4 linked regions of the Notamacropus eugenii genome follow. The protein of the gene in region 4 interacts with the protein of the main gene of each other region in a pairwise test. Links are inferred from orthologs where the notes say so. Each region holds a gene or a part of one and is shown on either strand. Other genes may lie near its edges. The genes, in order: EXOC7, MOB1A, IFT20 and kxDL motif-containing protein 1-like.

Region 1 (7,952 bases), on a different chromosome or scaffold from region 4:
ACATTTGCTCCAGATGTCCTGACAATCTTTCAAAACCTACTCTTTGCTTCTATCTACATGAAATATATATGTCTGTCTGTATGTACACAAGAATAAGTCAAGTCAGTCAGTCAATAAACATTTATACTATAAGTGGCAGGCAAGGGGAAGATCAAGGTGTGGGAACTCCCTCTACCAATACAGATCAGCATCTTTTCTGCAACTTAGAGAGTTGTCTAGAATAGGGCTTCATAGAGAGTTATTTAGAATAGGGCTTCTCAAACTTTTTCCACTTGGGACCCCTTTTCATGTTTTGGCAGTGTTCCTTGGTGTATGGCCTGAGAGCATGTACAGTGTAACCTGTGCATGCTTTGTGTTCAGAACCAAGGCTGAAGTGAAGCTGCAAGAAGCAACATGGGCAAGTACTGCCAGAAAACACCTGGCATTCATTACTTGGTTGATTTTTAATTAGTTTTTGATTGTTTCGCTGTTTACTGTTGCCAACATTTTCAAAGCCCCACTGTTGTGACCCACAATTTAAGAAGTGATGGTCTAGAACACTGACAGGTTGAGTGACTTGCAATGTATGACAGGTCTTCTCAGTTTCAAGACCAGTTTTCTATCCATCAAATTCCACTGCCTCTTGTTATATATGTGTATGGCTATTATAAATAACTACATGCACACAGATATTCCTTCACAAAAGCTCTGCTTCAGTGCCTCATCATGTTGTAGTGGGAATCGTGAAGTCTGTTAGAAAGAAAAGCAAACTCTGGTAGGTTCCACACTGAGACACTGAATCGGTGACAAAATGTCATCTGAGAACCAGTCTAGTTAAGTTCAAAGAAACTCACCACCAAATGTTTGGTTATTAGAAGATGAAGTTTTTTGGCCCCAGCAACTCACGAAACCGCACGAGGGGATGTAGAAGTTTTGATGTGCACAGGTGGAGAGATTACTCACACTGATGAAAGTAATGTCTCTATTTTGGTTTCTCTGCCCTCATCCTAGTCACCCAAGTATGGACCTTTGGAGTTATCCTAAACTTTTCCCTCTCTCTCTTCCCCACAAACTTCAATCAGTTGCCTAGTCCTGTTGATTCCACCTTCAAAATGTGGAATCTTCTTTCCATTCACACTTTCACCCCAGTTCAGGCTCTCATCATTTGCTAGAACTATTATTGTAATAACTTCCTAACCGGTTTCCTAACTTCTAGTCTCTCATCTCCAATCCTTCAACAGAGTTGCCAAAATAATCCTTCTAAAGAACAGGTACATCTATGTCCTTCCCCAGCTCAAATATCTTCAGTGGCTCCCTACTGTCTCTAAAATAAAGTACAATTTTCTAAAATTTAAAATTTTCCATAGTCTATCTCTTACCTAACTTTGTAACTTCAATTCATATTATTCCCCTTCACACATTTGCATTCTTAGCATGCTACACTGTTTCTGTACACAGCAAGTGCTTACTAAGTGCATTACCTATCTTAATTAGGTATTCCATATTTTGTCTCCATGCATTTGCACAAACTATACTCCATATCTAGTATATACTTCCTATTCAATTCTGCCTTTCAAAATTCTTATCTTCCCTCAAGGATCCACTCAGTGCCTTTTCCCTCTATGAAGCTTCTTTTCACTTCCCCAATTGTTAGCACATAGTCTCTTCAAATTATCTTATCTACACATATTTATCATTTCTATCATTTTTTTTTAAGGTTATACATGTGGCTCATTTCTTACAGCCACTTGGTGGCTTCTTGAAGGAAGGCAGTTTCTCTTTGTTTTTGTATCTCCACTACCTAACAGAGTGCCTTGTACACAATGAGTGCTTAATAAATGTCTAAACTGAAATTTGGAAGTATAAAGGCACATAGTTATTGCTTTCCATACATATTGTACCTTTATTACCATCCTGGTGCTTAATGTACCTGTACACGATCACAGTTAAATCTACTCCTTTGTGCTCATCTAATCTCCTTTTCAGAAAATAAGCTTAGAAACCACCTCTTCTATATTCCACAGAGCCTGTACACAGTGTAACATGCAGGTGGATGCCCAATCAGTATTTATTTGGGGTACCTGACAAGGAACTAGTAAGGCAAACATGACATAAGAAGAGTAACCAGCTTCTGGGTCCTAACTCAAGAGAGGCAGCGGGGGCAGAGCTGGGTAGACCGAAAACCCTGCAATCAGCCCGTGGCCCACAGAACCGAACATGAGGGGAACATCACAGAATCGGAGAAGGATACAATCATCCGGAGCACAGAGAGCCAAAACCGACAAGGGCCTTAGGGATCAATGAGTCCGACCCCCTCGGGTTACCGACGGGGAAACTGCGGCCACACAACACCCACCAGGTTCTCTGCAATCACGCACACTCTACTTTCTCCTATCTGTGTTTGTCTGCACGACGGGTCTCCCGTTGGGTCGTAGAAGGGCAGGCACTGCCTCCGGCCTGTCTGCGTCCCCCGCGGTTAGCGACGCGCCGAGCACCGAGGAGGCGCTCCATAAAGGCCTGCCGGGTGACAGGGCAGGGTCGGGGGCCGTGCCCCACACTCACCATGTTCTTGGTGAGCTGGTCGCTCTTCTCCAGGCTGTCTCGGATGAAGGAGAGCGTCTCCTCCTCCTGGGGGATGGACGGATGGATGATAGAGGAGGGCGGCGTTAGTCACCCCGTGGGGTGGGCCGGAGAGGGGGCGATTCCGCCGCCCCGCCGGCCGCGGGTCCCATCCCCTTCCTTCTCCCCACCTCCGCGCCCCCCAAGCCCTCCTCCATCTCCCAAGCAGTCCTTCCCCTTCCCGTCGCCTCGGCCTCACCTGCTTCAATTTGTCCTCTATCTCCCGCCGCCGCACGGACGCCTCCTGTGGAGGAATCATAGCCGCTCCGAGCGGGACCGGCCTAGGGAACCCGCGACCCCCTCCGGCCTGCGGCCCTCACTCCATCGGCCCTTTCCGGAGCGGCCCTCTTCGGCCACCGTCTCCGGCACACCCACTTCCGTCTGCTGCGGGCCTACCCACTCTCGGAGATGGAGCTAGGACGGCGCATGCGCACACTCCTCCTCTCTTTCTCCCCCAACCCCCCCACCCCCGCCTCGCTGAGATGGAGCATGCGCACAAAATTCTCGCTCCTGGGCAAATCACTGCTGGGCGTGACAAGTGTATCTCCTAGGAAGTGGTTTCCTCTAGCAGGGAAGCCTTCTTTCGAAGGGAAAAACATCATTGCGTAAAATAAAGTTTTTATGTCCAAGATCTCTTGGGAACTAACACAAATCAGTGTAGACAGCGGGGGTCACGGGGGCAGCCAGAGTTTGGCAGAGGAGGACTTGCCTCCTCCCAACAGAAAGGGGCGGGGCAATCTCCGCTTTTGTCTCCGCCTCCGCCCTGGGGGCTCGGCTGGGGGGCGGAGCCTTCCCCTTTCCCCAGGTGTGGGTCCAGGTGCTTCTGAAGGTGGGCCGCTTGAGTTATTAGTGAACCCGTCTGCTGCAGGCGCTGACTAGCAGAAGCAAAACCAGTCTTGATCCAGTTTACACTCGTCTTTGGGAAGTTCGCTTTTAAAATACAGATTGTTAATAAAAAGCCTGAAGTTCACCAAGAGAGGCGGCTCTGGTCACCAGACCAAAGAAGTTCCGTTTATAAAAATCTATGTGTCATCAAAGAATCTTTGATTTATTTAAAAAATGTATTCAGGTGGCTGCTAGTCCTCTCCTTTATACTCCTTTATACACCAATATACAGACAGTGCAATACAGAGCTTTAATGATGGAGCACAGGCCTTAAGTAAAGAGAAAGGAAATCAGAATAAGGAAGAAATTTTAAAAGAATGGCAGTATTTATTACGTATCTCTATTTTTTACAGTGCCTCTTAGCATAGCTAGCACAAGGAGACAGAGTTGAGGAGAGGAAATTTAAACCTTTTGGCAATTTTACACAGGACTTTTTAGCTGTCTGGGTGCCTCCCTCCTCTAGCCTTTTAGCACCCATCCTAAGAGTCCTCTTGATCTGGGGAGTGGAGGGAGAATGTCAACATCTCCACTAATGGTCCTGCTCAGATCTTTAAAGTCCCCTTTGGAGACCAGTTTCAGCATCCCTGTTCAGCATTTTGTTTTTGTTCAATCATGGTTTTTTGGTTTTTGTGTTGTTGGTTTTTGTTTGTTTGCTCTTTATGACTCCATTTGGGGTTTTCTTGGCAATGACAGTGATTTGCCATTTCCTTTTCCAGCTCATTTTACAGAGGAGGAAACTGAGGCAAACAGGGTTAAGTGACTTGCCCCGGGGCAAACAGCTAGTGTCTAAGGCAGGATTTGAACTCAGGTCCTCCTGACTCCAGGGCCAACATTTTATCCACTTTACCAACTAGGTACTCAAAATTGTTATTTGGTAGTTTTCAGGTCAGCATAACCCTGTCCAATTCAAACATATGGAAGACCTCCCCAAACTCTTCACAAGTTGGGAAGGAAACTGTCTCTATGAAACACTGAAACTGAGGGACTGTGGAAAGAGAGGTGTTCTAATACATACAGAGCCTTGAATTGGTCCAACCTTTCTGTTGGTATAGAATACAGTGTTTAGAATGCAAACTTTTTGAGAACAGGAACTGTTTCACTTTTGTCTTTTTTAACCTTAGCCCTTAGCACTGCATCTGGTACTTAGTAACCACTTAATGAATATTTGATTTATTGATTATGCTTTTAAAAAAGTGATGAAAATCAGCATGCCCCTTAACCTAGAGATCTCTTTGTTAGGTGTATAGCTCAGGGAAGTCAATGACAGAAAGAGGGATCCCATAGATGCCAAAATATTCATAGCAGCACTTTTTGTAGTATTGAACGTAGCCCTGGGGTCATGGACACCTAGCCCAGTTATCCCTGCTACAGAGACAAGAGACTCAAGCAGATGTTCCCCAAGAGTTCACCAACTGCTGAGGTTTTTTGAACTTGGCTTTATAGGACTTTATATGTTATAGAATTTTGGGGAAAAAAAGCTGGAAGAAGAGTTTGTTTTTTATCTTCTATGATGTGGGTGGGCAGAATTGAGCAAAGTGGCTAATGTCCTGTTGCCTGCTGTCTTCCTCCCTTTCCTACCCCTCCACTCCCATCTTTTGACACTTTGATGGGTGGATATTGCTATATAACGTGATTGCAATTATAAATTCCCAAGAGCTGAGAGTTAACAGTTGGTGATGCCAAGCATCACAAGGGATAGCTCCCTATTCTTTCTTTTTCCAGGTGAGAGATCAGTTTCCCATTAATTGCCAAATTCATCTAAGTTTATCTTTTCCCTTCCTGTGAGGAAAAGCTGATTCTGCCTCTGTAGCTAACAACCCAAGTCAATGCATCATTCCCTCTCTTCTCTCTCCCCCTACCCCCTTCATTACTCCTTTCATCAACCTCACTTCCTCCCTGGAATCACCCTGGCTTCTAATTGATGACCTTTCACCTTATATTTCCTGGAGCTAGGTTTCATCTCTACTTCTGAACATTCACATGCCTCACTATGTTTCTTTACCCCACCTCTTCATGCTTTACAGCTCCCCTTTAAGGTATTGATGGGGTGCTTGGGTACATGTGCTTGGACCCCAATTCTAAAATCACATTTCTCTTTAAAAATCAAATTTCTCCTTAGCCTCCCAGCCCAACAACAGCCTGCTCCAGCAAAAATGGCTGTCTCCCTTCCTGCTGCAGTAGCCAGCTGTAGAATTTATTAGTTTGAATCGGCTGTGTACTGGGTCATAATGACATTTACTACTCACCATTATCCTAGATTTAGACATACGTATACTCCTTCACATTTATCTTGTCTAACAAGACATTGATGAGAGCAGCCTTTTATTACTTAGTCAGTCCTGTCTGTTAGTTGACTTAGTGGCATTTCAGGCCTAAAACTCCCTCCTTGGGCTAGTTCCCAAAGAACTCTGGGTAAAATACCTGTGCAGTAGATACCAAAAGTGCATGTTCCTTTTAAGAACTAACCACTCCTTAATCACTCCTTAATTCTGCCCTGAATCACCTAGTTAGCATATTTGGCACATGTTTTACTATAGAATATCCTATATAAACTTTACCTATACCCCTCCAAGGTTGCAGGTTCCCTAAGAACTCTTGCCCGCTGAAAAGTGTAATAAATCTTTACCACCTTGACCTTAATAATGCTTGAGTTTGGGAATTTTTTTCCAAATGGCCCACACAGGCAACTACAGTTTTGGAATTCCTATATCTCTATCTCTCCAGCCCTCATTAGTATCTTCCTCAATTGGAATGTAAGGAAGGCAGCGATTATTTTGCTTGCTTGTTTCTGTATCTCCAATGGTTTTAGCACAGTGGGCACATGGTCAGCCCCTTATAAATGTGCTATCTCTATCTATGTACCTACCTATCAATTTCTCTTTCACATTAAAGAAAAGACAATGGCTACTAAATCCTAATAAAATTAATGCAGGTGCACATCAGATTAGGCAAGAGATTTAGATGTCTTTAAAGGGCAGGAGATACATTCCATATTCACTTCAGTGGAGGTGTGAAAGGAGGAAGAGACGTTGACTTCATTTTAGTCAAGTGCAAGTTTCCACAAATAAGAGAACTTTTAAGCAGAGAGAGAGTAATATATGCCCATAGATCTAATAAAGGTAGCCCCTGCTACTGAAAAGGCCACTGAGGTCCAGGGGACTACAAGCTCCTTCCTGTAATAGTTCTTTGCTCTGTACAGGTCCTAAAGACTAGATTGCTTAAAATCACATGACTAATATGTATCCAAAACCTAGAGATGCAATATGGCGGTGGTGAAACTCTTCAGGAAGCATATGCTACATTTACATGTTCTATTGATCAGCATAAAGAAAATAAACCTCCTGACTTTAGAGTCAAAGTACATTCTCAATTACAGAGAATAATTCAGAGAAGTATGGTAGTATCTAAGAAAGAGGATAAGATTAGTCTGCAGTAACCAGAAAAAGGTAATACATAGCTCTGAGCTTTATCCACTCATGACTGGTATTGAATCTTGGCTGGTGTCACCATAGTGAGTTGAGGTGAGGCAAATGCTAATAGACATGGAGGACTGTGGTATCTATGCTAAGAAGAGCTCAACTTTCATTGAGGTAGGAATATCTTCTTGAATGTCAATGGAAGCAAATTGAGAAAGCTACTCTGAAAACGCAAAACCAAAGCCAAAAGACCACAGAAGATCTCACAAGATATGGAATAGTGGACATTCTTCCTTAGAAAGATAAAGGACCAAGAGAATGAAGGCCATGAAGAAGACCTGTGTAACACCAATGCAACACCCATAGCAGCCATTATGGATATGCATCTGTATTTCCAGGGTAAATTTGCAAAATATAAACTCTCTTCCTCAAAGATGAAACCAAGACATTTATTCAAATATCAGAAAGCCAAATCCATCATAGTAACAAAGAAATCTATATACATTATCAATGCAGGGAGCATGACCATCTCTGAGTTTCCCTCCATCAAACCTCCCCACAAACAAACTCCCTTAGGCAAAATCATTCCCTCTCTCAGTGTAAAGGCAAGCAAAATAGGATTTTTTGCTGTTTTTGTTTTAGTATAATCAAGTGCCTCTGATTGAATCTTGCCTTTATCAACCAAGAATCTTCACGAGTAATAAAGTACAGAAACAAGAGTTTCTTTAACTAGAAATAGTATGTATTTGTATATGTGTATATGTATATGTATATGTATATGTGATTAAAGATCTTCCCCATCCATTAATGGGCCTGCCCATTAATGGGAATTTGATTGGGGGAGATTTGTAGGAAGGTCCTCTGGCTCTAAAAAAGGTATAAATACTCTGAGTTGAGGTTTTATTTTTGGACTTAGTGTTTGGAAGAAGCTTTGTGTGCCAGACGAGACTCTGGGAAGCCACTAAGGAACCCTCCAGCTTTGAAAACCCAGATGTTGGTGCTTCCCTCTCTGGCAACTATGGTCAGACAGTTAAACCTGTCTGTTGATTTGTG
Region 2 (7,443 bases), on a different chromosome or scaffold from region 4:
GGGATGCCCCCCTCAACTGTCTCCAAAAACAAAACACTTGTCTCCTTCCCTCTTTCCTTCCTATGGCTCAGAGCGGCGCTGCAGATCAAAGGAGATCGAATTTGTAAAGAGCTCAGTCAATCTTAAACTGCTAAATAAGTGTGTAACTATTATTGCTTTTGCTCTGACGATGATGAGAAAGGACCCCGGGGCCGCAGATGTGGAGCTCAAAGGGACGCAGAGCTTCTGGTCCAAGGACACAGAGCTGGGAAGCCTGGAGGCAGAACTTGAACCCAGGCCCCTAGATGCTGCCACATGACCTTTTCACATGGAGATAAGGCATCTCTGTTCTCCCTTGGGCTTGGCCTGACTAGGTTTTGGTAAAAGGGAGAGGCTTCTATGAGGAGGAGAAGGGGAGAGCAGTGACAGACGTTATAAAGAAAAGCAAGAGGAAGTGAAACATTTAAAAACTGCGGAGAAGGTCCCAGGGTTGGGCTCAGCCCGAGGCGAGGGCAATGCTGTTACCGCCACTTTAGAAGTGATGGCTATTAAAAGGCACAGGCAGCATCCTGACCCCCCTCCACCTTCTCATCTTTTGGGATGATTTATTTGTTGGTGGTTTCTAGTCCACAATTTAAAAAGTAAATCAATTAGAAATGAAGCAATGAATGCTTGCTGACTGATGGATGCCCCCGGGCATGGAAGGCAGCGGGCACTCCTGGAGGGGGAGGGAAGGCTCTGCACTGGGGGCCTGCTCTGCTCCTGCACGGCTGCCCGGATTCGATCCACAAACACGCAGCGTTGGACAGCGTGTGCCAGACCCTACAGGATGCAGAGACAAAGATGAAATCTGCCCCTGTCCTCAACAGGCTTCCATTTGGCCGCTTCCCCCAGGGACTGGCAGAGAAGCAGACCAGGGTACCACCTGGGAGTGCTCCCCAGGAGGTGAAAGGAGCCAACCACAAGCTGTCTGGGGAGCCACCTGGATGGGTAAATGCTGTCTCTCCACCCCCACCCCCAATGAACGGAAGCTTAATAAATGCTTGTTAAATCCAAATGCAGTATTCTCCAACTCCACTGGCAGCTAGTGCTGGACCTGAGTTCCAATCCTGCCTCGGGGGTCCTGCTCAAAACACTTAAGGTGTTTCTCAGTTTCCTCCGCTGCAAAGTGGGGACCATCCTAGCACCTCCTTTCCAGGGTTGTTGGAGAAAGGAGGCGAGGCGCTCTCTAAATGCCCATGAACCATCATCAGGACCAGACAGAACCGAACCTGTATAACCCAAAGCCAGTCTCCCACCAGGACTGCCTTCCTTCTAGAGCCTGTGCTGTCCCCTCCCCCGCCATCACTGCCCTGGCACCACCGATGCCACCGGCCAGAGGTCAGGAAGACAGATGCTGGCCTGGCGGGCCTGGCCCTCTTCTCTAAGCAGGGACAAAGACAAGGTGGGGATCCCAGGCCAGAGAACCTCAGACCAGGGTGAGGCTGCCAGGGAAGGGGCCGGGTGGGCTGAGGCGGTCAGGGCAGAGGGGTGAGGAGGAGGAGGATGGAGGCAGAAGCACGCAGGAGGGTTGGTGCACAGTGTTTGATGTGTGTCACTTCAGGGGCCTCCACACCGCCTGTGAGATGGGTTACAGACAGGGAAACCGAGGCTGGGTCCCCTGCCAGGTCTGGGGCTGTCAGGTCTGGGGCAGGCCTGCGTGGCCCTGGCCGGTCACCTGGCTCTGCAGGCCTCAGTTTCCTTATCCTAGCTCCCCTCACTGATTAGACTGCCCCAGGGTGACACGATGGAGGGAACAAGCATTGATTAAGCACCTCCTGAGTACCAGGCCCTGGCCCTGCAGTGGGGACCTGGCCGGGGGTCACGGGTCCCAGGGTCGGGGATCACAGACCCTCAGGGGGGCCTGCACATCGTGAAGCTGGGGGAGCACGGCCAGGGGTGGGGGGGCACTGCCTCCTGCTGGGGGGGGTGCAGCCAGGGGTGGGGGGGCGCACTGCCCCCTGCTGGGGGGAGCACAGCCAGGGGTGGGGGAGTACTGCCTCCTGCTGGGGGGAGCACAGCCAGGGGTGGGGGGGCACTGCCCCCTGCTGGGGGAGCACAGCCAGGGGTGGGGGGGCACTGCCCCCTGCTGGGGGAGCGCAGCCAGGGGTGGGGGAGTACTGCCTCCTGCTGGGGGGAGCACAGCCAGGGGTGGGGGGGCACTGCCCCCTGCTGGGGGAGCACAGCCAGGGGTGGGGGGGCACTGCCCCCTGCTGGGGGAGCGCAGCCAGGGGTGGGGGGGCACTGCCTCCTGCTGGGGGAGCGCAGCCAGGGGTGGGGGGGCACTGCCTCCTGCTGGGGGAGCGCAGCCAGGGGTGGGGGGGCACTGCCTCCTGCTGGGGGGGCGCAGCCAGGGGTGGGGGGGCACTGCCTCCTGCTGGGGGGGTGCAGCCGGGTTGGGGGGGCACTACCCCCTGCTGGGGGGGCTTCACGGGGGGGTGATGAGGATAAGTTTGGGTTCCGGGGGCTCCTCCCCCGGGCCGGGCCCTTGGGGGCCCCCCAGGAGGCCGGGGGAGACAGTGGGCCTCGGCCCGTCACCCCCCTTTCCTCAGTCCGGGCCGCCCCCACATTCCCTGGCTGCCCTCGGACCCCCCGCCGCGCCCCACCCTGGGCCCAGGTCCTGGGGTCTCCATCCCCGCGCGCCGGGGCCCCCGGGCCCCCCAAGACCCTCCCCTCAGCCCTGGGGGGGTGTCTCCTCCTGCCCCCCCTCCCGCACTCACAAGAGGAAGCTCATCTCGTCTCGTCTCAGCGGGGCGGGGCGCGGGGGGCCCGGAGGAGGCAAAGGAGCGGAGGCCGGACGGCCAGCGAGGGACAGGGGCGGCGGCGCCCCGGATCTGCACGCACGCACGGACAGACGGACGATCCCCGGCCAGCGCGCGCCCGGAGCCGCCCACCCGAGCCCCCCGCTCCGAAATGCGGAACTCGCGCAGCTCTCGCGAGAGGAAGCGCCCCCCCCTCCCGCGTCCGGGGCAGGAACGAGGAAGGGACGGGGAGCCCCGCCCCCCGAGAGCCCGCGGCCAATCAGCGCCCGAGGCCCGGTGCCCCGCCCCCCGCAGGTGCTGCAGGCCCGGGGGGGGGGGGCAAGGTCAAGGTCGCGGGGGGGAGGGGACGTCCCGGGGAGGGAGGGGTCACTTGTGGTCAGGCATCCACGTGCCAAGTGTCCTGCCCTGGCCTGGGACCCGGGACCCTCCCGAGCCGCGCTCCGAGTGCGCCTCTGACGTCCAGTGTCCAGCGGTCCTCCCAGCCCTGATGTCCAGTGTCCTCTGATGTCCAGCGCCCTCCGGTCCCTCCCGGCCCTGATGTCCAGCGCCCTCCGGTCCCTGCCGGCCCTGATGTCCAGCGCCCTCCTGTCCCTCCCGGCCCTGATGTCCAGCGCCCTCCGGTCCCTGCCGGCCCTGATGTCCAGCGCCCTCCTGTCCCTCCCGGCCCTGATGTCCAGCGCCCTCCGGTCCCTCCCGGCCCTGATGTCCAGCGCCCTCCGGTCCCTCCCGGCCCTGATGTCCAGTGTCCTCCGACGTCCAGCGCCCTCCGGTCCCTCCCGGCCCTGATGTCCAGCGCCCTCCGGTCCCTGCCGGCCCTGATGTCCCATGTTCCAGGGGCATCTCTGGCCCTGACACCCCACATTCTTTGCTCCTTATCCCATGGCCCAAGCCAAGGACCTCGGTTGTGCTGACCAGAAACTCCATTAGATCCAAAGATCGATGCAAGGAGTTTTCTCACGCTTGTACATCTCAAGAAACCGATGAGTATTAGCTGAAAACTGGTCCCATACTGATCAATCAGTTCCTGTTTTCATATTCCTTTGTCTATGGACACTTCGGAGGTGGGACCCCTCTTTCTCTGAATTCGGGGAATTGTACCTGTTCATTCTCCCCCTCCTTCCCGGTCTTTCCTAGAAATCAGATGACCCAACGTTGTATTGTTTCCTTTTACCTAACTGGCCTTATTGATGAATTGGTTTTAATGTGTATAAGTCTGTCTGCCCTAAATTCAGGAGATCCGGTCCCCATAGGCATGAATCGCTTTAATGAATCGATTAGCTGTGGGATCGAACTTCTGTTTCTTCAGTCATTCCATCTGTCACCCACCACAGTTCCAAGACCCCTTCCAACCCTGTGTGACCCCAGGCAAGTCATTGAACCTTCAGTTAACTAGGAAACTTGCTCAGATTCTACACTGCAGAAAAGCCTATGATCTGCATTGATAGGTGGAGCTGTCTCGCCTGAGAGCTCCCTCTGACCAATGAAATTGCGTTACCTCTCCCAAGCTGTGTCTAAAGACCTAAGGTCCCAGAGGAAGCACAGCTCCTCGAATCTTATTCACTCCTTTATCTCCTGCCTATCAGCAACAACTGGGCCTTCCTTGCACATAGTAGGAATTAATAAATGCTTTGAGATGGCATTGAATTGTGACCCACCCACCCACTTGAAGTTGGCTCCTGGCCCTTGACATGAGCATTTAATATGTACAGGTGGGGATGCTTGGGGTGGATGGGTGGGAGTTGGAGGGTCCTTGCAGAAGGTGGGCTAAGTAAGGTTGGCTTGCCGTAGCTCCAGTCACTACGAGGAGGCCTCCTCGTAGTGACATAAAAGATAACAAAAACTACCAGAACTCTGAGTCTGTTGGTGGGCATGGACACTCCCCTGTCAACGCAGAGGGAAACAAATCCCTCTAAGATTTAACTAATGGTTTTGAGAGCTGTTGTGTCTGAAAGGGGCCCAGGGAAAGTCTAAATGTTTCTTAATCATCCAAAAACTAAAGAATGACTGAGTATTTTTATAACGAGTAACTTTTCTTAGTCTGCCCACAGCTTGATACAGTTTTGTGTTTCCTGCCCTGAAAAAAGAAATGACTCATGAATTAATTGGGCTGATGAAACCTCTCTTGCCATCTGTGTGTGGGAGCTGTCTCTCCTGAGGCCCAGAGTGGCCTTCTGCTTAGCTCAGCCACATGACTTGTTAGCATAGACTTTTGTCTATGTTAAGAGACCTCTGGAAAGCAAATGCGGGAGCATTAATTGGTAATGAGTAAGCAAGAGCTGGCCTTAGCTCTTGGCATCTTCAGGACAGAATGGATGGCCCATTCAAATAATAGTACAGAAGGAGGGGGTACCCAGGTAAGAGGGCCAGGAGAGAGACAGAGACAGAGAGACAGACACAGAGAAAGAGATGGGACTGGGTTTAATGGGATGGAGAAGCCCGAGTTTGGAGAGGAAGACAGAACCAAATGTTAGTAGCAGGTGACATTTATTTGATAGTGGTTAGAAATCTATAGAGGCAGGGTGGTGCAGTGAAGAGAGCATGGAATTTGGAGCTGAAGTGTGGGGTTCAGTCCCAGGTCTACCATTTTCATGGACCTTGAGCAAGTCACTTCACCACTAAAAGGAGGTGGTTGGACCAGATGCCTTCAAAGGTCCCTTCCAGTAGGAGCCAGGGCTTTCTCTCTTTTTGAAAGGAGAGTCAGGGGGTGTAACAGATTCCAGGCTTCCTTCTGAACTGGCTGTGTGACCCTCAGGGAGTTCCTTAACCTCTCAGCGCCTACACAATTCACCAAAAGTCAAAGTTACCCATAAATTGCTGATCTCCCACAATGACAAAGTACTTTATCCTGGTTTGGTTCCTCACAAAAGCCCTGATGGGTAGGTTGTCCAAGGGTTATCTTCATTTCACAGATGGGAAAACTGGGGCCCAGGGAAGATTGCTTCTACAATCAAATACATAGCTGTCTTTTTTGGACATTTGAATCCTTTCATTGTCTGCTCCAGACCATCTTTCTGGAATAATAACTCTTCATTCTCCCAGATGCCCTCAATCCTCCAGTCAGACTGCCTGCTTTCTTTTTGCCATCCTAGGGCATCCTACTTCCTACTTCCACCTCTCTGCCCAGACTATTACCCAAACCTGGTGTGTTATCCCTACTACCCACCATCTTTTAGAACAATGGCTCCCTTCAGGGATCACCTCAAAGGCCTTTCCTCCTTAACCCAGCTGTTAGTACCCCCATTTTGTATTAATTTTGTGCATAACCTATCGGGTACCTTCCCTGCCCCTACTTTGGAGGTCTGTGTAGCCCCAGCACCCAGCACAGCCCCTGGTCCCTAGGCTCTATCAATCTTGTCCATTGATAGAAGGGCTGCCTCTTCCTTAGGCAGGTGACTTCAGGAAAAGTGCTGCTTGGGTCAGCCATGGGTCTGATGGTCCCTGTCCATCCAATGGGGGGACAATGCTAGCTAGACTCCAGGAACTTTGAAAGAAGGTTTTCTCTCCAGCTGGACTCTGAATCTGGTGCATAGTAGGTGCTTAATAGATGTTTACCAACTAACCATCTGAATCTCCTTCATGTCATGTCCCTGAGTACTGTGAGGGATCTCATAAACCTTCAAGGCTGTAGCAAAACCATTTTTCTCATCATAAAAATTCTTTGTATGTACAGTGCCTTAACAGCTCATTTGGTCAAATTCAAATCAACAAATCTTTATTGCATTCCCATTACCAAAAAGTTACATTACATTTTTAAAAAATTTCTTAAAATTCAACCAGGACCCTGAATTCTATGGCAGGGATGGAAACTAGACTCAGGCTTTTATTGATAGAAGGGACTCCCAGGTGAGGGAACTCCTTCTACCAACACAGATAGGCACCTTCTCTACAACTTCCAGTCTCAGAAAGTTGCCTGAGGCACCAAGAGCTGAAGAGGTGACTTGCCAGAATGTGTCACAGGCCATTTTTCCTTGCTCCCTCAATTTTTATAATACTAAAAGGAACTGGATGTGGAGATAGAAGGGACCCCAAAGTCCCTCCAGCCGCTCCTTCATTTTTATAGAAGAAGAAAGGAAGTTTAAGAAAAGGGGCAGCCTCCCAACCTCCCAATGAGAGCCAGAAGGGACCTCCCAGGTCAGGGCCAATATTTTACAGGGAAGAAGGGAGAAACTGAGGCCTGGGGCCATGAAAGGAGTTTAGCCTGCGCCAGGAGTATGTGCACTGGGTGCACTGGGTGCTCTGACTTTCTCATTGTCCCCGAACTGACGATTCTATGGTATCTTATACACCGTAGTTACTTAATCAACGTTTGGTGGTTGAATGATCGATCTAGGTAGGAAGAAAAGTAGTACGCAGCTGTAGATGGTCACATGAGAGTCCAGTAGCCAGAACAGGTTTAAACAACAGTTCTGGGCATTAGTGGGAGGCTGGTCACTGCGCAGGACTCCATTAATTTACTGTTTGTTATTTAGTTATCGCACTGATAAGAAGTATTGCAGGAATCCAGAGAAGGGAGCCAAGTCACAGAAGGAGGCCTTGAGAGACAGAAGACCTTCTCTCACTGCATGACCTTGGGCAAGTCTCTTCTTGGGCCTCAACTATCTCCTCTGGGAGATGAGCCTCCAGTTCCCTCCAACATTAACACTCCGGGATCCTGGGATGATAG
Region 3 (7,527 bases), on a different chromosome or scaffold from region 4:
ATCAAAGATCTAGAAATTGAGGAGGCACCTCTCAGTTGGGGAATGCCTAAACAAATAATAAATGAATTTTATTATGCTGCAAGAAATTAGGAAAATGTTAGTTTTGGGAAAGAATTTATGAACTGATGCAGAGTAAAGTGAGACGAACCTAGAGAACTGATAGTATAACAATATTGTAAAGATAACTTTGAAAAACCTAACTCTGATCAATACTATGACCAACAATAATTTTAAAAGGTTGATGATTAGGTATGTATGATACCCACTTTTTGATAAAGAGATTTATTCAAGAAGCTGAATAATGCTCAGTGGACGACTGGTGAACTTGGGTTCAGTAAGACCTGGGGCCTCAGCATCCCTAAAGAGAATCATGGCTAGAATGCAGATCATGGCAAGTTGTAACTAGCTGCACTGCAACATCATAAGGTGTTGCTGGCCTTAGAGCAGGTGCGAGCCAAAGGGGAAGGACTTGTTGATGTATTTCCCCGACCATCCAGAAGTGTGAGTGTTCTGATGCCAGATGACTGCTACCAGACACTCCATCAAATTATCCTAGCTTGAGGTGAGTATCCCCTAAAAAAGATACAGCCCCCTTTGCTCTTCAGCTGGGCTCACCAAGTCACCTTCAGATTTGGGTATCTGGTCTACACCCAAGAAACAGTGCCCTATGCAGACAAGCAGCACAGATTCTCCCATTACAAATTAATAAGTTTGCATTAGCTGGGTTGCTGCAAGCGAAGCTTCCCTAGGACTCGGTCATTGGGGAACAGCTAACTTTTCCAGCTGCCTTCTCTTGACATGGGCTCAGCTCTAGGAACATCTTGCCTCCCCCAGGAAAGCTCCTCCCCTGAAATCTTATCATCTTGCTCACACCTCCTCAGCACTCTCAGGTGCCTCTCTCCTCAGACTGGAGGGAGGGCTGGAGGACAGAGCAATGAACTCCTCCCCAAGGCCTCCCTTCTTTTGGTTAACTTCCTCAGCTACTTTGTTGGTTTCAACTCCTCAAGCATTGTGCCCCCAGGCCAGGTCACCTGGAGGGGGCTCCCCCCATCAGACTACAAGCTCCTTGAGGGCAGGAATTTCTTTGGATCCCCAGCACTTGGCACAGCGCCAAGCACATAGTGTTGATTTTTTTCATTCTTCATTTTCAAAGACCAAGAACAACTCAGGTGATGTCTTGACTTGCCTGTGAATTGGATTTAAATGAAACAGTCCTGCAAGGTTGCCAGCCTCACTCTTCCAAAGTCATCCAATTGAGGACAACTGGCAATGGCCAGGCTGCAATACATGACCGAGCCCTCCACGGCACCTACTTCGGTCACTGTTGTGGCTGTTGGAACAAACTGTTCTCATCCCCCCGTTCTGCTGGGGAAATCTTCACACACCTGGGGTAGACAGCCCCCTAACTCAGCCAAGGGTTCGAGGCCTGTGGGTCACATCGGCCAAAATGGTTCCTGAGGTACGCCGTGGGGCGTGATAGTTTCTTGGAGCCACAGGTGATAGGTAAACAACAAAGGTGAATGAGCAGCCCTGAAAAGGGCTCAGCAAGGCCTCACACCAGAGGAGCTGGTCCTCCCTGAACATCCCATACAGCCCCAGGCACACAGTTGTGGTTAAATGGTTCTTCACTGTGCTCCACTCTTCGCGGCTCCATCTGGGGTTTTCTTGGTGTATCATTTCCTTCTCCAGCTCATTTTACAGATGAGGAAACTGAGGCAAACAGGGTGAAGTGACTTACCCTGGGTCACACAGCTAGTAAGTGACTGGGGCTGGATTTGAATTCAGGGAGATGAGTCTTCCTGACTTCAGACTTAGAGCTCCACCCCCTGCACCTCTTGGCTGCCCTGAGGCAGGTACACAGTGTTGACTATTAATTGGCTAAAATGAAATTTCTGAAACCGAAAAGGTGAAGACCAGATTCCGGCCAGGCTGTCTCACCTTAAGTGGCCCCAGGTCACGCGTGCCGGGTCCCTAACAACTTTTTTACCATCGACACAAGACACAAAAATGGAAGAGAAAAGAATGGCCAGGCCCCTCCAGCACCCTTTTATGGGGTGCAGGTGCCACTTGCTTTTCTGGAGGGGGGCAATGGGCTAGTTAGTGTCTGGGCCGGATTTGAACCTAAGTCTTCCGGCCTCCATCCTCTGCACCACCAGCTGCCCCCAGAACAAGGGACTGGGAAGTTCGAAGCCCCGAAGGCCAGGGCAGCCCCACCCCAACAGCCACAAAGGGACCCCAGCCCCGAAGCCACCTCCTCCGCCCTCGGACTTGGCGGGTGGGCCCCCGCCGGGCCAAATCCCGTCCCACGTGGGGTCCCGGGCGCGGTGCCGAGCGCCACACTCAGTGATGACGGGCGTGGGCCACAGGGCAGGCAGCCCCCTGGAAACATTCGTGGAACCGGGGCGACCGACTTCTTCCAGGCCCTCTACCGGGGGTTCCCCGAGAGCCTCCCGGGGAAACTGAGGCACCCGCCCGCGCCTCCGAGGCGAGGCCAATAGTCGCGCGAGCCGTGCCGCCACCCACCTGAAGCCGGGGCCCGCCGCGATGCGGGGCGGGCGCGGGAGACGGCGGCCCCGCACTCCGGTTAGCAGCTAAATCCGCCGCCCGGAGCCGCCCGCCCCGGCGCTGCCACGGCTACAGCTCCTGTTTACCGTACACGTCACTTCCCGCGCCGCGAACTCGCCGCCGGAAATGGTTCCACCTCCCTCTTCGAAATGCCTGCTGGGAAGCTGAGTCTGAGGAGCGAAGGTTAGACTGCAAGGAAAGCCCACACCTCCCCTACTCCTTTGCGCCGAGGGAGGAGCCGGAAGTCGCTTTCCCTCTTTCCCGGGGATAAGACGGCTGCCAGGAGGCGTGGGCAGGAGAAAAACATCCCCCCGAGACACGTGCCTTCCCTCGCTTTGCATTCTGGGAGTTGTAGTCGTGGGCCCTCCCCGGCAGGCGTGGGAGCCGGGCTCGGGGTGGAGCCTGAGGAGGATATGAGCTCACTACCAGAGCCTGGGGCGGGGGTCGGGGTCAGGGTCGGGGCGTTTTTCTTTGGGGCTGCGGGAGCCGGAGCTGGGGTCCAGGCCGGACAGAGCCCTAGGAAGACGCTCCGGGGACGAAGGTAAGAGAAGGGCCGCGTCCGCCCCAGGAGGGCGGGGAGGTGGGGAGGCGCGTCCCGTGCCCCGCGCCCCGGACCAGAGGCCGTGAGTGTGCCCCCTCGCCGTCCTCTGAGACCCGGCCCGAAGGAGGAGGGGAGATGGGAGGAGGAGGAGGAGGAAGGGTAGGTGGGAGGAGAAGGGCGAGAGGAGGGAGGGGGAGAAAACAGGGGAAGAAGGCAGAGCGGGTAGCAGAGGAAGAGCCGGAAAGGGAGCGCAATAGACATTCTTGGGGGGCAGGGTGACCCCGGGGTGAGCCTCGCTTTGCCTCCCTTCCCGGGCCACGTCTTCCGCCCCGTCGGTTCCCTAGTCCGCGGGGCTTCGTTGGCCGAGGCCCGGACCCACCCCCAAGCCTCTAGACCTCCCCCCAGTCCGGAAGGAAGAGCGCTCAGGGGCTCGATGGAAACTTCTTTTTCCCCCGAGTCAGTTTCAGGGCGTTCCCTGTGGGCGGAGCCCGGGAGCCCATTGGTTCAGAGGGAAATGTAATCTGACCTCGCTTGGTCCAGGGCGGCCCGGCTCCTGGCCCCGAAGCCATCCCTGCGGCAGGGGGCCACGGCCTCAGGGCTGGGAGAAGCCCTTCGCGTTGTTGTTCTTGGCTTGCTCCGGAAGGCTTAGCAGCTTAGAAAAGCTGAAAGGAAAATACCCTTTAGGTTAGGAGACAGAGCCTGTGTTTCCTTCCTCCGCTTGCTTCTCTAGCCAGAATGGCCGAGTGAGCAGGGGCCACTTCTAGTCCGACGTGTACTTCAGTAATGCCCACTGAGTGGTCCTCCTTCCCTTTTTGCACAGAGCTCCTTAAGGCTTCCTGGGGCAGCCCACTCCACTTCGGCCCCATCTCGTTAAGAACCTTCTCCTCCTGTGTTTCTCTACAATCTCCACCCATTGTCCCAGCCTCCGCCCTCTGGGGTCCCCTATCAGATACTTGTAGATAGTTCTCATTCTCTCCCTCCACCTGGCTAAGTTTTATCCAGGCTCATTATCCCTGGTTCCTTAATCCTGGGTCTCCACCAGTTTATCCAAGGTCTTTTTTCTTAAATCGTAGCACCCCAAATTGAACACAGCATTCCAGAAGTGGTCTGCCTGGAGCAGAATCCATCAGGAGTCTCACCTCACCTCATGCAGCCCAAGACCCTATTCATTTCTTCCCAAATATCTGCCAGTGTTACATGTAGCACACTGTTAATGGCAAAGCATTAAACCTTAGAGATCTTTACCCACCACACTACTCTCCAGTCTGTTTAGCTGCTGCTGTGCGACCTTGAGCCTAAGTCACTCCTTTCCTGGTTTTGTCCTCTGCACAGTGAGGAGCTGGCCTGGGTGAATGGTCTCTTTTAGCTCCATCCCTCAGAAACCATAATGGGCTTCCTTATCCTTAGCTTATGGACTTGTTTTGGGTCCAGATGTAAGACTATCTTTATCACGGTTAAATTCCTTCTTATTGGGTATGGCCCAACATTCTACGCTGCACAGATCTTTCTAGACTCTGTCACTATCCAGAAATGTGGTCAGTACCTTTCAGTCACCCCTAAAAATGGTAAACAGCATAGGGCCAGATACAGGTCCCTGGGGTACTTGATTAAACCAAGGCCACCTTCCTTTAGTGCCTCTTCTTTAGATGGAGTCATTCAGCATCTTCCCTCTATCTGGTCCATAAGAGCAGCAGGAGACCTTGTCAGATCTTTGCTAAAATCTCCGTTCTCCTAGAGTGCTATCTATGGCAGCCCTCACTTGTCTACTAATACATTTTCCCATTTTCCTTTGCCATTCAGTCAGATCCTTTTAGCTGTAGTTTCTCCTCCAAAGTCATTATCTAATGAATACCTACAATGTGCAGACACTGTGAGGGATCCAGAATTAGGGTGTAATTCTTGCCCTAAGGGATCTTACAGCCTGGTTGGGGAGACAAGCCTGGTATGTCTGTTCTGTTCCAAGGGTAGAACACCTTAGGGTGCACCTTGCTAATTGTTTTTTGAACCAAACTTGTGATTTCATAATTGTAGGAAAATTCCTTTATAAAAGCACATCGGTGAAATTTATTGTTTTAAAGAGTTGCATAAGATCCTTGAGAAGTTAAGCGACTGGCTCAGAGTTATTCAGGACTCAAACCCCAGCCTTCCTAACTTTCAGGACAGCCCGCCCTATAACTCTAGCCTGCTACCTTGAAAAGTAGGTGGAAGGAAAATCAGTCTCTAATGCATGAGGTGCAGTCTGTCTCCCTTTCTACTTCCCCAGGCCCACTAGCATCTAGAATTCCGTGTTACAATGAATCCCCAGTGTTTGGGGTTCATCTTGTGGTTTTCCTGGATCATGAAGTATTTCTGGGATCTTCTTCCACCCCTTAGAAAATAGGAAAGGACTGGGAACCCCTGCCCTTGTGCTCAGGAAGACAAGCCAGCAGGTGGCCTTCTGGTCATTTCTCTAGACATAGAAAAACTGCAAGGATTGGCATGAATTCTGTGCCAAGCAGAGAGAATCAAGAACCCAGCAGCCTGAGGCCAGGGGTAGCAGTTCACTAGAATGCTCTAGGTTTTTGTGACACTCTTCTCTCTTCTGGTTTTCCCCCCCACTTCTCTGACCGCACCTTCTCAGGCTCCTTTTTACTGGATCCTCTTCCAGATCACTCCTGAACATTCCCTGGGGTTCCTCCTGGGCCCTCTTCTTCCTTCAGACTATATTGCATTTGATCTTACCAGCTTTCACGAATTTAATTATTTCTGTGTTGATGATTCTCACATCAGCTTATCCAGCCTGGCAGTTGAAGATGCTCCAGCCTTGGCTTCCTTGTAGCTTGTTCCAGTCTTTTCTCTCAAGTCATGTGTTTTTCATCCCTTCCTGAAACCCCAAGTGGTATCTCTCAGTTCCTTCCCACATGGTTGTAACAAGGGATTGGTTTTCTTGCTTTCTTGATGTTGGGAGGGAAGGAAGAGAGAGAATACAGACCAGAATTGACTTTTAAAAGTTACTTCATAAAAAAAGAAGGAAGGAAGGAAATATGAGAAGGGAAGGGAAACCAACTTCCTCCCTTTCTATTTAAATGGACAGTTTAAGTGCCTTTCATCTGAATCCTGGAGAAGTCTTGTATTGCGTAAATTCCCAGTTAACTTGGCTGCAGTGTTGGGACCTTGTTGAACCTTTGGGAATAGTATACACCTAGGTGGGACGGGCATCCCGTTTGTTATTTATAATACACCTTACATGTTATTATAGTAATGCCATTTTTGTGATCCCTGCGAACCTCTCTGTCTGGTCTTCAGGGGTCCTCAGCTTACTCCTCTCTCTTGTTTGGGCCCTGGCCTGTATCTCTGAGGGCTGCCAAGCCATTTGCATGGGGACCTGGAGGGAGAAGAGGAACAGGGTGTGGCCAGACTGTGGCGGTCCTTTTAACTCTAAGTTCACAGTCCTCCTGACTTCTGTTGTTCTCTCTTCCCTTCTGCCTTCAGTCCTGAGATTATGAGGCTCTGGCCTCCACCAACTGCTTGCCTGTGACTTCCTCCACCACAGTGGAACGCCCTAGGCCCACCTCCTGCCGTGTGGTCATCTACCTGCAGCGGGAGATGTCCGGAGATACCTGCCTGGCTGGCCTGTGCCCAGCCTCAGGATCTAAGCCCAAGCCAGGGGGCTTTAAGGGTGGTGGGATGGGCAACAAATACATCCAGCTCAATGTTGGAGGCTCCCTGTACTACACCACGGTGCGGGTGCTCACCCGGCATGACACCATGCTCAAGGCCATGTTCAGCGGGCGCATGGAGGTGCTGACTGACAAGGAGGGTAAGGACCCAAGGCCAGAAAAATAAGAGTGGTAACGGCAGGAAGCACTTGGACTGGTGGGTCCCAGGGCAGACCTTGCATGAGAGATGTGGGGCTTTTCCCTTTCATAGACTAGTGGAGCTGAGTGGGACGTCAGTGGTAGTTTGGGCTATCCCTTCTGTTACAGGTAAGTGAGGGCCCAGAAATGAGTGACTTCCCACACCCATTCCTACAGCCCTTTGTAGAGATCATCCCTCCATTCTCCTTGCTCAGGAGCAGTGGAAATAAAGTCCTCTGGGGCCAGCAGTAATGGCCCTGGATTCTGGTCTGAATTCCCAGGCTGGATCCTCATAGACCGATGCGGCAAACACTTTGGCACCATTTTGAATTACCTCCGAGATGACACCATCAACCTTCCCCAGAACCGCCAGGAGATCAAGGAGCTGATGGCAGAAGCCAAATATTACCTCATCCAGGGCCTGGTGGACATGTGTCAGATGGCACTGCAGGTAGGCAGAGGGGCAGGAACCAGGGCCTTGCAGGGTCCTTCCCCCCTCTCCTCTACAGACTTGTTCTTGAAGAATTAGCAGAGATATAATTTGGAGTAAATCCAGTCCTTGTCAGCCTGCTAGGAGAGTCTCTG
Region 4 (7,553 bases):
AGTTAGAACATGTCTGAGGCAAGATTCATGCTCAGGTCTGTTTGACTCCACGACCAGCTGTCTTTACAATGAACTATGCCTTGAGTGTTTTAGATCGAGAGGAGAGCCTCATCAGTGGTTTGGCACCCCCTCTGCCCCCACCAAAAACAGTTCTACTTGGCATTATGAGAGCTTTTCATACTTATTTTTTAGAAGTCAATGATTCTTTTTCTCATGATCACCCTAATATTAATCTCATGATCACCCTAATGTTAATTAGGGTGAATGACACAAGTGATTTGTCTCATCTAAGACAGAAATAAATAGCTTGCATCCTCCAGTTCAGTGACATTCTCTTAGCTGACATAATTTTTGACCACAGAGGGGCAAAGTGATGAGTGGTCTATCTGTGGTTTCATATAAGAAGGAGGGAAATTTTGAGATGGCTTCTGTGTCCCAAGAGTCACAGGTTCATCATGCCATGTGTATTGAATGAATTAATGAATGAATCCATCTTATCAGAAGAGTCACCTAGTCCTTTAATTCTTTAAAGGACTTTAATTCTAAGATCAAAGAACTAGTTTAATTTTTTCAAGTAAGTTAATAATAAAATCCATCGCTCATTTTTTAAAGATCTACCATGTGCCAGATACTGTATGAGGCTCTAGAGAACCATTTCCTGTCCTCAAGGAGCTTCTATTCTGTCAGATGAGACAATATGTGCACATATACTCACATAAGTATGCCCAATACTTGTACCTTAGAAATGGAAGGTAATGGAAGGGTGAGGACATACTTGCTTCTGTTGAGGATTAAGGCAAGTGTCTAGAAATTTTTAAAAACAACATTCCAGAAAAGATTTGGTATTCAGTAACTGGATGGATGGCTTGTCATGGATTAAATTTCATCATTTTACTTCCTGGTCAGTTCTGATGTTTCCTCCATGGTCTAAATAAAGGCAAGATATGACCAAGGGGGAAGACAATGACCTTCCTTGCCCCTCATCTTAAGTTGGCTACAGAGGGAAAGAGTAAGACTTGGTCTCCATCCACCAATCTGTGTGGGAGAGCTCAAAAACCGGGAGACCCAACAGCCCCAGGGCTGTCATGAGACTCAAGTGAGATGATGGATGGAAAGATCTTTTCAAACCTTAAAATTCTACATAATGCCAGCCATGATTATTGTTATTAGCCTCCAATCACCTGGTCTCCAGTCTTGTGATGTGTATTTCCTAAGCCTTCCACTGTCCTACTCAATTTAAGCAATGTTTATGGAGTAGTAAAGGGGTGTGCTGGTAAATGTTTAACTACTGGATAAGGACACGTATGCACATATGCTTATACGTTTAATTTGTATTATTAACATTTTCTTAAGTCTATAAATCTACAAAACCATGAAGTTGGCTCTGATTTGTGGCAATTGCTGATTTTTTTCTTTCTCCCTAGGCAATGGGGTTAAATGACTTGCCCAAGGTCACGCAGCTAGTAAGTCAAATTTGAACTCAGGTCCTCTTGACTCCAGGGATGGTACTCTATTCATTATGCCATGTGGCTGCCCCTAATTGCTCCTTTCTAAGGTATAAATGCTCAAGATGATCATTTAACAATGGACGCTCACAAGCCAGTTACAGCTGCCTCCAACAAACCCCTGGAAAGTTCTGACAATTTTGTTGGGTGGGTAGCTGTAAAAACAGAAGCTAATTATGTATAAGCTCTATCATCTCACTGTGGGAGACAAATAGAGAGGCAAAGAGAACAGGAACATTAACTTAGTGTGAGGTCCCTCTCAAAGGGACAGAGAGACCCAGGTCCTAGACCCAAAGGCATAGTTTCAAGATAGAAACTAAAAGCTAAATCCTGGGAATGTCATGGAGTTGGTTCCAAAGGTCTCTGATGTCCTTTTTAACGCCATTATTGCATGATTCTAAAGAAACTTTTGATTAAGAACCTGGTATTGATTCCAGCAGTTATCCAACAAGGAAAATCTCACAAATGCAATAAACCTGTGCTCTGGGGTGTGCTAAAGTGAGCTCTGTATGATCATCTGCAACCACCACAAATCTAGGTTTGCTTTACTGTTTCGTGGATTGTTCAGACTTAAGAAAGGGTTAATAACACAGATCAGACTTAAATGTGTATGCATACATTTCCCCCTAGAGAGTCTGGTTGTTAAACATTTGCTGTCACTCCCTTATATTGCTCTATAAACATTATTTGCACTTAACTAGAGTGGAGTAGAAGGCCCAGGGCATGAAGTCATCACCAGGTAGCAGACCTGGCAACTAGAAGCTAATAGTAATAACGACCATTGAGGATGTTCTTTATTGGTGTATATAAGACTCTCATAATGGGAGAATAGGAATTAAAGCTGGTAGTTACTGATGTTCTCTCAGTTGCATTTTTTATATTAATAAGGTCCAAGATTTTTTCCATCACTGGCATTTTTCCCTTCTTCCGATGCCTAGTACATCAATCCTTCAGTGCATTTACCACGGTGGAGATTACAAAACAGATCTCTTTCATGTATAAATAGTATCTAATCTAGACGCTTTCCTTGTATTTTTGCTCTTTAGTGCCATTTCCACCTTTTCTGTAAGCACACTGTGGTGCTAGGGTCCAAATATGGTTGTTTCACTGTCCTTAATGAAGAAATCATTAGTTATAAGGATTTTTACAAAGCTTTCCCATTTTCTTCTTGCAATCCTTCTTCCCTTTTGGAATGTCCTTGGGATGAGTTTCTTTAGTTGAATGTTTTCCCAAGCTTCCTTTAAACTGATTTTTGCCTTACTGCTTGCTTCCTTAATTTATGAGACAATACTGCTCATAATCATCCATCATCCTTATCCACAAGATTTTATAAATGGGTTTATATTGTAATCTAACATTGCCTTTGGCAGCCATCTCTCACTATTTAGCAAATAAGTCAGATATCTGCTGATTTAGGCACTTTCTGAACTCTCTTCATGCCCTTGGTGTACACTGGTTACCCTTCAGAATAACATCATCATAGTCAAAGTCGTTGTCTTTTCTGTTGTCCATTTCCTATTTCTGATCATTGGTTACTTGTTTGAACAGTTCAGGATTAAGTTATTTCAGATGTATGCCATATATTTTTCTCATTCTTTTAAAAAAACTAGTTCAGATATAACTCTGGTCTAACTGTATGAAGATAGCTATCATAGCAACAATATGTTGGAAAAATTCTTTCTGTTTGAAAAACTCATACTATTTCATTTTATGGTGTTATTTGATGTTCACCAATGGTCACTGATTCTTTCCTCAAGGAAAATGTATTTAAAAAATAGCACATTTCTAAAAACAAAATCAATAAAACCAAATCAGTAGAGGAGGAAAAGTTAAAGATTAATCATCCCTTAAGCCTGGTTGGATTCCTGACTTCTTTTAGTAGACATTAAGCTCCTTGGGGGCAGGGCTCACTTTATTCTTATCTTTGTATCTCCCAAATTAGTCATAGTGTCTTAATGCATCAGTTAGTGAATAGACATTTTTTAAGCACCTACCATCTGTGAGGCATTGTGCTAAATGCTGGGGATGCAAAAAGAGACAAAAAAAAAAAATACTTCCTGCTCTAAAGGAGCTCACAATTTAATGGTAAGTGCAATGAAAAAACATTTGTTGGACTGAATTAATCACTCTTATGAGTGAACTTCTTTGAGTGGCAAATGTCTCTAAAAGTAGCTTGATATCTTGCTTTTGTTTTAAAAATTCTCTTTTGTTTCTAGTCACAAAAGGCAGGCAGCAATGTCATTTTAAGTCTTTTTTTAATACTCTTTTCCTTCAGTGTTCCCTGAACTACAGCCAAATCACTCTCTTTACTATTCAAAATATTCTGCACATTCCTGCCTCCATGCCTTTGCCCATGATGTACCCCCCACCAGAAACACTGTTATTGTCTACAAGGTCTAATTTTTCTACAAAGTCAGCTCAAATGTTTCAAGTTTCACTAAACCCTCCATGATCTCCACCCAGCTTTTTCTCATACCCAAGCCAGAAATGAAAATGGATACACTTTTCTGTCTCTCACATTCTTTCATATTTTACCTTCTCCTATGCTGATATTTATTTGTTGTTTAAAAGCCCTTACTACTTGGGTCAGTTTGGTTTTCTGGCTTCGTTAGGTATCATCTTCCTTTCACATTTTTTTCCAGCCAAACTGAATTTGCTTTTTCTCCCGAATGGGGTTTATCTCCCCTCTCTTTGCCTTTGTCCCCACCTAGAACTCCCCGCCTGCTCATACCTGCCTCTTAGCATCTCCTCGTTCCTATGACCTCAAGCGCTGCTTTGTCCAGGAGACCTTTGTTGATTCTCCCCCACAAAATTACTTTGTTCTTGTTCAGTCCTGTCCGACTCTCCGTGACCCCATCTGGGATTTTCTTGGCAAAGATCCTGGAGTGGTTTGCCATGTCCTTCTCCTGATCATTTGACAGATGAGGAAACTGAGGCAGAATGAAGTGACTTGTCCAAGGTCACACAGCTAGTAAGTGTCTGAGGCTGGATTTGAACTCAGGAAGTTGAGTCTTCCCTACTCCAGCCCTGGTGCTCTGTGCACTATGGTGCCCTCTACCTGCCCTTTCACAAAATTACCTAGATTTATTTTGCAGATATTTGCTTTAAGATTTTCAAAGAGTTTTATGAATTTATTTAAATTAGCCTTCACAACAACCTGGGAGGTAGAGGTTATTGTCCCCATTTTACAGGTGAGGAAACTGAGACAAACAGAGGTGAAGTGACTTGCACAGGGTCATACAACTAGTAAATATTTGAGATCAAATTTGCACTGAGGTCTTCCTGACCAGTACTCTGTTCACTCTACCATCTCATTTCTAAATTCTACAGATTGTTTCATGCAGCTCTGCTGTAATCTCCTCACTTTGTATCTTTCGCATCTAACCAGGTCCCGGCAGGGCCTGCTAACTGGGAAGGTGATGGTGGAGATTACTTATGTATATGGATTGAACTAGATGATCATCAACACCCTTTCTAATCCTCACACTATGATTCTGTATGCAAAATAAAGAAAAAAGAAAAAACAAATACTGGTTGCTTGACTTTTGTACAGATCCCTACTGGATTATAAACCTGCTGAGGGGAGGGCACAAGTCTTACTTGTCATTGTGCCGCTCCTCACATCTAGTGTAGAGCTTATTTAGTTACTTAGTGTAGTAGCTAGAGATAAGAGTCCTGGGCAGGGTATGGAGTCTGCAAGACCTGAGTTCAAATGTGACCTCAGATACTTACTAGCTCTATAACCCTGGGGATGTCACTTAATCCTTTTTGCCTCAGTTCCTCTTCTATGAAATGAGCTGGAGAAGGAAATGGCAAATCACTCTAGTGTCTTTGCCAAGAAAATTCAAAATGGGGTCACAAAGAAATGGACACAATTGAATACACACAGGAAATGTTTGTTTTGTTGAACTGAATGGGATCTGGGTGCATAGCAACCAAAAAGTTCCCATCCGCTTTCAGGGTTCTAAGTTAGCAATTCTCAAAGTGTGGTCAGGGGACTCCTGGGGGTCTCTGAGACCCTTTCTTGGAGTCAAGGGGGCCAAAATTATTTTCGTAATAATGCCCAGGCATATTAATTTCTAATACGGTAAATATTTAACGTACATAAACAAAAGATTTTAAGGGAGGGGGAGTTCTTGATTTAACAGTATAAAGGAGCTGTGAGACAAAAAGTTTGCAGACTGCTCTATCAAGCCCAGAAATGCAGCATCTAATATTAGCAGTCACTTGGCAAAGGCAAAACTGAGTTATATAATCCCTGCTCTTTGAGAAGTAAGGGCCACCGGGAGCTAATTAACTTCCGTGTATTCTGAATAGATTCAGGGAAAGCCACATTGTTCTGAAACAGAATGGCTCCTATTTACATTATAATCATCCTCATCACTCTCATTCATATAATAACTCACAGTTACATAGCATTCTAAGTTCCTTCTTCACAACCTTTTTACAAGTAAGGTATGACTGGTATGAGAATCATTTTCCCAGTTTCACATGCAAGGAAACTGAGGCTTTTCCTGGTGAAGGAGCCTTTCACAGAAGCTTATGGCTAGTACACAATCCTAACTTGATCTTCTGACCAATACTGTTTTATATCATATGCTCCCCAACCAGCTTCTACTTCCTCCATCAACGTTTCATTGTATATGTGTGTGTGTGTGTGTGTGTGTGTGTGTGTGTGTATAAAGAATTATTTAAGCATTTGTTGTGCCCCCATGCCATAGAACTGAACTCTCTGAGGACAGGGACTATACCCCCAGTATCTTGCACATTATAGTACTAAAATAAGTGCTTCTTCACTGATTCATCATTCTGCACCAAAGATTCTCTAACTTCATGTTGCTAGCTGCATCAGGTACCAAGAAGACTTAATGATACTGAGGAAAAGAAACAAAATATCATGGGGATATTAAGGAGAGTGTTGAGACAGTGAGCTAGAATCAGAAAAGCCATGGGTTCAAATTTGACCTCTGGCAGTTGTGTGACCCTGAGCAAGTCATGTAAAAGTCTGAGCTTTGGACAATTTCCTAGGATCTTGCTACTGAGAGACAGAGTAGTTGTGATGTTGGTAGAAGAAATTTCCAGCCCTGTGCTGATGAAAGCACTAATATTTTTTGGATTCAAATACCATTAGGTTTGCACATCAGTGAAACTGCTTATGCTGGAAGACATATTAACTTCGCTTGTGTTTATATGTGTGCATCATGGCAAGCAGTGCAGATGAGTTGAGTGTGGTGGCACACCTGTGCACTGAGGAGCTAAATTCAGATCTTGCTTGTGACACTGTCTTGTGACCTTGGGATAATCACTTCCTAGTTCTGGGCCTCAGTTTACCCATCTGTAAAATGAGGAGATTTAAGGCCCCTTTCACTATGGTTCTGTGGGGCACCTATTCTCTCACTTGAAAGAATGTTAGCTCCATGAACTGTTTTCTCATTTTGTGTTTGTATTACAGTGCTGTGGGGAGAGGGGACCTTAATAAATGCTTATAAATTGGTTGTTATATAATGAATATATTCAGGGTATGCCCCAAATCACAGAGCAGTTTGAAGCTAGTACTTCTTGGGATACCTGGTAAAATTCAAATGAATTCAATAAGTATTTACTAAACGTGGTCATATGTGTAAGGTACAACGAGGCTACAACAGGAAAAATAGAAACCATTCCCAGCCCGCAAGGAGCTTACTCCTCCGAAGGAGACTGGAGGTGATGATGATGACCAGAACACCTCTTTTCTCACACACAGGTAAGTACGAACAAGGCAATTTGAGGAGGGAGATGGCAGTATATAATCCAAACAATGACAGTAGGAGGACATGTCTTTACCCAAGGATGCAAAATTAACTTCAATCAATGCTCTGTTTTTCTCCATTCCCTTCACAGAGTGCTACCTACCTGTAATAAATGCTTTGATTTTTCCCCCCCAAGGTAAAATGCATTATTTATTCTTCACTTCAGCAAAATAAGCAAGAAAATTGGACCTCTTAAAATCCAAATAATGGCACCAGCAGTTTTTCACCTTTATTTCCAGACCCTGGATTCTGTTCAAAT

The links.
Region 1: the proteins of kxDL motif-containing protein 1-like (region 4) and EXOC7 interact in binary tests that used the Homo sapiens proteins (3 or more experiments, as listed by UniProt). The two-hybrid records come from large-scale screens. The link is inferred for Notamacropus eugenii from reciprocal best matches to the Homo sapiens genes KXD1 and EXOC7.
Region 2: the proteins of kxDL motif-containing protein 1-like (region 4) and MOB1A interact in binary tests that used the Homo sapiens proteins (3 or more experiments, as listed by UniProt). The two-hybrid records come from large-scale screens. The link is inferred for Notamacropus eugenii from reciprocal best matches to the Homo sapiens genes KXD1 and MOB1A.
Region 3: the proteins of kxDL motif-containing protein 1-like (region 4) and IFT20 interact in binary tests that used the Homo sapiens proteins (3 or more experiments, as listed by UniProt). The two-hybrid records come from large-scale screens. The link is inferred for Notamacropus eugenii from reciprocal best matches to the Homo sapiens genes KXD1 and IFT20.

What each region holds. Positions count from the first base shown.
Region 1 is NC_092873.1:342,425,728-342,433,679, forward strand, and holds the start of EXOC7 (exocyst complex component 7), read right to left. Parts: upstream 3,018-7,952; 5' UTR 2,858-3,017; coding exon 2,798-2,857; intron 2,608-2,797; coding exon 2,542-2,607; intron 1-2,541. UniProt on the Homo sapiens protein: Component of the exocyst complex involved in the docking of exocytic vesicles with fusion sites on the plasma membrane.
Region 2 is NC_092872.1:750,729,224-750,736,666, forward strand, and holds the start of MOB1A (MOB kinase activator 1A), read right to left. Parts: upstream 3,001-7,443; 5' UTR 2,753-3,000; coding exon 2,739-2,752; intron 1-2,738. UniProt on the Homo sapiens protein: Activator of LATS1/2 in the Hippo signaling pathway which plays a pivotal role in organ size control and tumor suppression by restricting proliferation and promoting apoptosis.
Region 3 is NC_092873.1:35,659,452-35,666,978, forward strand, and holds the start of IFT20 (intraflagellar transport protein 20 homolog), read right to left. Parts: upstream 3,015-7,527; 5' UTR 2,524-3,014; intron 1-2,523. Other genes in the region: TNFAIP1 (BTB/POZ domain-containing adapter for CUL3-mediated RhoA degradation protein 2), read left to right, coding at 6,692-6,905, 7,224-7,393. UniProt on the Homo sapiens protein: Part of intraflagellar transport (IFT) particles involved in ciliary process assembly. May play a role in the trafficking of ciliary membrane proteins from the Golgi complex to the cilium.
Region 4 is NC_092874.1:283,502,189-283,509,741, forward strand, and holds the start of kxDL motif-containing protein 1-like, read right to left. Parts: upstream 3,018-7,553; coding exon 2,966-3,017; intron 1-2,965.